Yarrowia lipolytica: one gene and its partner. The protein of the gene in region 2 purifies or fractionates together with the protein of the main gene of each other region. This does not show direct contact. Links are inferred from orthologs where the notes say so. Each region holds a gene or a part of one and is shown on either strand. Other genes may lie near its edges.

Region 1 (3,108 bases), on a different chromosome or scaffold from region 2:
TTTGAAGCCGCTAGACACTCACGTTTTTGTCGTCTGCTGATGCGAAAGATGCAAGGAAACAGAGTAGGCAAAATTCAAATTGGGCCAGCGTCATAACCTCTTACATGAGGAATGCATGACTGCATCACACAACACTATGCGACAGAAAAATGACCAACGGGCAAGATACTCACCGGAACGGTTGCTGGGGATTTTTGGGCTGTGTTAGGGTGACTCCGAAAAGAGAGCTCATTTTTTTCCAGATATTTTGGTCATAACCTGTAACCGGTTCTTAGACAGGGTCTACAACCCTAATCTGAGACACGCAGAGGCCTGCATAAAACGCTTACTCATCAGGAACAATGTAGCAGTTCATGTCCGGGCCTGGCACATACTGTAGATAGTGTTGGTAGAGACGGCCAGAGAGTATTGGACTCCTTTGGCAGTGGTTTGTAGCTCTTCACCCAGGGAAAAATCCCGTCACTTGCAGTACAACTGCCTCCGGCCACACAACAAGAGCTACAAGCTCCATAACAGACACAACTCACTCACCCAGGTAAAGGAGGTAATTCTCGACGTCTCCTTAATTCGCGGAGCTTTTCGCTCATAATGGTGGTTCAGTGGTGGCCACTAGCTCTGGAGACCTGCTTCTATTTATCCGAACCTGCCCCACCATGATTAGGTTGAAACCATGTGAATGTGCCTTAAGCGAGCTACAAGTACCGTGGGTAGAACTATTGGTGAAGGGTCCTTTTTTTGTTCTTCTTCTTGTATAGATGTATAATACAACAACAACAACACTGGATTAGAGAGCGGAGCTAATGTCCATCGCTACAATAACCAAAGATTGGTCTATAGAGATTGCGTGGATGACCATATTGGCGGGTCTAGATGCAAGGGACTTGGAGGGGACATGTATGGTGGGGTAATTGAATCTGGGGAATGGATAATAACCAGGAAAGTTGGACAGGAGAGGAAGACGCATTAGAAAGATGAAAAGCCATCAATATATTGCAATGAGTATCTGAATGAACAGGGCTGTTAACCCACATATTGTGCGTTATCACGTTTATTGTCGTTCTTGTCCATTATGGCAACTCCTGCAACTCAACCATATTGCAGAGCAAGGTGAATAATACAAAATTCATGGCAAATAAGACAACTAAGACCCTGTCGCCGGCTTGGTGACACAAGCAGAAGTGGCTGATTTCCTTTCCGATCGCTTTCAATCTTCTTTGGTCTCGACAGGGGTCAATGTCTTCGTCTATGGTAGCCTTGTTCTCGAGTCTCCATGTTAGCACTAATAAGCAGCCAGCAGAACTGTGTTACATTGGAAAGTGATGTACAATGGCTATATTGGTAATATACGTACAATTGGGTCATACTATGGAAGCCTCCAGGGCTTACAGGATCAGATCAGACTGTCATCTCGAGCGTATGATGATCGTAAGTGTCAGAACCTGAGAGCCTTTCCTGTCTTTTTTAGAACATCATAGAAGACTACAAATACTGTACGCTCACCAGTATTCAAGAAAAAATACGATTTTTCTCTGTAAATTGAACAGATCTTACAAAAAATGAACTACTTGTAAATCTTCATCAGGTTCTCATCTCCACACATGATAACTCAAAAACACGCAGACCACCGAATCGAACTCCCAGCCACTCCCAAACCCAAATTACCCTACCTGAAACATCGCGAGATTGTGTAGGCACACAGGCGTCACCGTCACTATCAGCATCAACACATACACAACCAAAAATGAACGCTCCCGATAGATTCGAGTTGTTTCTGCTTCCCGATGGAGTCCCAAAGTGAGTATCTGGCGAGAAAAAGGGACGATAAACGACGATCGTGCACCAGGGCTGCTTCTTCGACTCTCAAGACTGTTTTGGACACAGACTGATCTGATGTTCTGAAGCGATGCCAGTGTATCAGGGACGGTCAAGTGTTTACCGTGGTTCTAGGTCCGACGTAGAAATGTGCAGATTCGATCATTTTATGCTACAGTGATGATGATGGGGTCTGTACGAGAGAGACACTATCAACGAGTCTCTCTCCATGGGACGGCCTTTGTGAGCAGGCTCTTCGCCACAGCTTTCATGCTACGATGTCGTTTTTACCTCCATCGCATGTGTGACAGCGTTTTCCTCTTATCTCCCCTAACACAGACTTGAGGTCACCCCGGACACTCGAATTCCCAACTGCGCCAACATCAAGTTCGAGAAAGAAGATCACACACTGGGCAACCTGCTCCGATCACAACTGCTACACGACTCGCGGGTCATCTTTGCGGCCTACAAGGTGGAACATCCTTTATTTGCCAACTTTGTGCTGCGAATCCAGACCGAAGACGACTATTCGCCACAGGAGGCCCTCACAAATGCTTGCAACGCGTTGATCCGACAGCTGTCGGATTTGCAGGAGAAGTTCCAGCGAGAATGGCGACTGCGGTACTTGGTTAACAATTAGGTGGAAAAAGAGAAGCGCGAGTGAGCTACTTGCTTACTGACACGGATAACAAATAAACATATAGCATAATGATTGTATAATAGCAATTCTGGTACAGTAGGTACGGTAACAGCTACTTGTAGTATCTGTAAAGTCCAGGAATCACATTCAGATGAGCTACGACTCCACTCTTACAAATACATATATTAGCTAACTATACAAAAGTTTTCCTCCTTAGTCCTCCATATCAACGTCATCAGCAGGAACAGCCTCGTCGTTACTGATACTCTCAGCCATTCGCCACACCTGAATAACATTGTCCTCAGCAGCAGAAGCAATGACCCAGGGCAAAGTAGGATGCCAGTCAAAGTCGGAGATCCGCGAGCTGTGGCCTCCGTGATGGAACAGAAGCTCAGGAGGTCCCTCGTCATTTTCATCCGAGCTGAGATCGTCGTGAAGACGAGCAATATCCCACACGAGAATGGCTCGGTCGTGTCCTCCAGATGCCAGAACCGAGGGCTGGTGGGGGCACCACTGCACCTTGGTCACCTCGTCGCAATGGGAGTAGAGCTGCGAAATGGGAGTGTCCATTTTTCTCATATCCCACACCTTGACGGTCTCGTCAGCTGAGCCTGTTGCGACCAGAAACTCGCTGTGGGGGTTGAAGTCCAGCGAGT
Region 2 (3,065 bases):
TCAATTCGACTTAGTGATACTGTGCCGTTGGATATATAGTGAGCTTCGGCTGTGGGTTTGAGAGCTGCTCAAAAACGGAGTCCTTTGTACGGCCTTTACCGTATCTACTCACTCCTGAACCCGTCGCTTTTTTGTTTATACCTCATCGTAATATACATTTGTTCCATATCAGCTAGTAGCCATATAAATAGGAGACGAGCGTGGAGGCCGAATTCCTGCACTTTGCAATGAGACCACTCGCCTGTTCATGGAGACGGTATTGGAAGCCTGACAGATCAGAAGATGATACTCTGGGAGATCACAGCGCAAGATAGAGAGGAGACCTAACTCCAGAGAGTCACCCATTCAGACACTAGAAATTATACCACCTCGGAGAGTGTGACAGTGGTGGGCAATGTTCCACTGTCTCCTGCTGTGGCGTATGTCTAAGCCGCTATGTGGAGCTGGGCGTTCTAGTCGAACATGTGGTGCACCTGTCAGTGTTGCCGAATCCAGTCTAAAACCCAGCTGTCACTGTTTCAGATCTTGTTGCGATTCCCGTCTCATGTTATCGTCAGGAATCCACAACTTGATGTCGACGTTGCCTCAACCTGTCATGATAGATTCCTCAATCCGTCTCGCTATCTCCACTGGATTCTCGGCTTATAGCCCTCAATAGCACTGGCCTTATCCTTACTACTCATGTCCTCCAACGACTCGTAGTCTGGCTCCACGTCATTCTCGTCGTCCTCGCGCTCTCTCAGCGAAATCTCCTGGATCTCCTTGCCCAGCTTGGTGATCTCGTCTCCGTTGGCAGGAATGTTCATCCTAGCGAGCTCGGGGTCCTTGAGCGACATCTGCGTGAACCCCTCCACAATCTCAGCCATGGATTTGCCCTGCTGGGCGTCCGACGTCAGTTCCTCCAGCAGGATGATGCTGCCCTCGTACTGTTTGCACGAGCCATAGTCGCCCCAGATGCTGCCTCGCAGGTCCAGAGGGTCCGACGACAGCTGTGCACGATAAAACTGGCTCGCCTGGTAGTGCTGCTTGCTGCAAAAGGTCCGCAGATACGCCCACGGCACGTCAAACTTTTGGTTCTGGGCCAGCGTGCCGAGAATCTTGTTTTTGCCCGACGCAGACTTGGGCACCAGTCCGCACGGAGGGTACCCGCAGATGTGTTCGTAAGTGCGTTCGCCAACCAGCTCGTCGTACACCTCGGGGGTGAGGTATCGCGACGCGTACTTGAAGGTCTGGATGTCGGTTTTCTTCGCCGACAGAGCCTCGATCACGGCGATCGTGATGAGTGCAGAAAGCTGCAGGTTTGGCGGCTCAGACCCCGTGTTTCCAAACCGAGTTCGTAGCTTTTCGATTTCCTCGCGTAGTTGCAACATGAATGTGTGGGGGTTGTTGTGGGTGGTGTGATTACGCGTCAAATGGGGTGTATTTGAAGCCGTTTGAAAAATTGCGGTCGTTTGGTTGCCGTCGTGGATGTGATTATCGGCGGTTTCGTGATTTTCTCGATTTTTTTCCGATTTTTGCGGTTTTTTTTTACCGCCACTCTCAATCGTGTTGCTGTCGTCTGCCTTGCTAGGTGGTCAAGATGCTGAGTTTAAATGGTCTGCAACAGAGACCAGTGACCCGCATTGCAGCCAGACGTACGTTAATACGACAAGAGACGGGGGGACAACTGGAGGACCATGTAGAGAACTAGGGAGATATCTCAATACACAAAACGACCTTGCTTGGTCAGCACATCAGATTGCCACTTTCAGAATTCGATTTCGACCAATATTGCGGTTTCTGGAGAAGTTTTTAGCACAAAGTATTAATCCGGTGTAGATTTGTAATTTTGATCAGAAAAGTTTCAAACATGAAGCTGCTGACTAATTCAACGTCTTATAACGTCCACATTCAGCTTTTTACTCTCTAATCCCCACCAATTACCGCCCACATCCACCCATGTATTTCCCTCTCACTATTGACGTCAGGCAGATGGAAACTTTAATTTGATGTCATCTCCTATTCACTGCAAAATCCCCCACAATGCGAAGGCGAACCAACACGTCGGCGAAAAGCGACCGAATACGTCCGCGGCGGTCTCTGTCGTCTCCGTCGCGTCCGCGGCTGTCGTTTTCAGACTTTGAGGGGTTTGAACGGCCCGAAAACCCGCCGGTTCCACGCTCATTATGGGACTATCTCCAGGTGCACCTCCAGGGCGAACAGCCGTACACCGAGGAGAAAAATGAGCACCTGCTGTCGCTTATCAAGGTGCCGCTGAATCTGGAGATGATCATGGCCTTTGGATTTCTCACTTGCCTCGACTCCTTCCTCTACACGGTCACAATCATGCCTCTCAAGGTGGCCTCAGTACTATGGGGCATAGCCAAACGTCGGTCGACCCGCCACGTGACCATGACCAACATGAGCGACATCATCAAGGCTGTGGTTGTCATTTCGACAATGACCTTCCTGCTGCTCATTGACACCTCCAAGCTCTACCACAACATCAGAGGCCAGAACGCCATGAAGCTCTACGTCATGTTCAACGTGCTGGAAATCACAGACAAACTGTGTGCGGCTTGGGGTCTGGATGTGCTGGAGTCGCTCTTTTCCGCAGGCACCCTCAACAACTACCAGCGACTCGCGACATACATGGGTCTGTACATGGCTTACTCGGCTGTGCATTCAGGGGTGCTGCTGTACCAGATTGTGACCCTCAACGTGGCCGTCAACTCGTACTCCAACGCGCTGCTGACCCTGCTGTTGTCCAACCAGTTCAACGAGGTCAAGTCGACCGTTTTTAAGCGGTTTGAACGCGAGTCTCTGTTCCAGCTCACCTGTGCAGATATCACCGAGCGGTTCCAGTTGTGGGTGCTACTGGTGTCCATCGGACTCCGGAACGTGGTCGAGGTCTCCAATACGGGTCTCGTTCCATCGTCGTGGTCGGGCTGGAATCGATGGCTAGGGGCTCTGCTGGGTCCTGCTCTAGTGGTGCTGGGCTCCGAAGTCGCTGTCGACTGGCTCAAGCACTCGTACATTGCGAAATTCAACAATTTCCGTCCCAGAGTGTACCGCAAGTTTCTGGA

Evidence for each region.
Region 1: the proteins of YALI1_B00280g (region 2) and YALI1_D34758g purify together in Saccharomyces cerevisiae (affinity purification with mass spectrometry; 3 studies listed by BioGRID). This does not show direct contact. The link is inferred for Yarrowia lipolytica from reciprocal best matches to the Saccharomyces cerevisiae genes RTR1 and RPB11.

Annotation. Positions count from the first base shown.
Region 1 is NC_090773.1:3,474,788-3,477,895, reverse strand, and holds YALI1_D34758g (uncharacterized protein), read left to right. Parts: upstream 1-1,741; coding exon 1,742-1,794; intron 1,795-2,151; coding exon 2,152-2,452; downstream 2,453-3,108. Other genes in the region: YALI1_D34739g (uncharacterized protein), read right to left, coding at 2,666-3,108. UniProt on the Saccharomyces cerevisiae protein: DNA-dependent RNA polymerase catalyzes the transcription of DNA into RNA using the four ribonucleoside triphosphates as substrates. Component of RNA polymerase II which synthesizes mRNA precursors and many functional non-coding RNAs.
Region 2 is NC_090771.1:26,333-29,397, reverse strand, and holds YALI1_B00280g (uncharacterized protein), read right to left. Parts: upstream 1,371-3,065; coding exon 621-1,370; downstream 1-620. Other genes in the region: YALI1_B00273g (uncharacterized protein), read left to right, coding at 2,023-3,065. UniProt on the Saccharomyces cerevisiae protein: RNA polymerase II subunit B1 C-terminal domain (CTD) phosphatase that dephosphorylates 'Ser-5' of the CTD and regulates RNA polymerase II during the transition from 'Ser-5' to 'Ser-2' phosphorylation.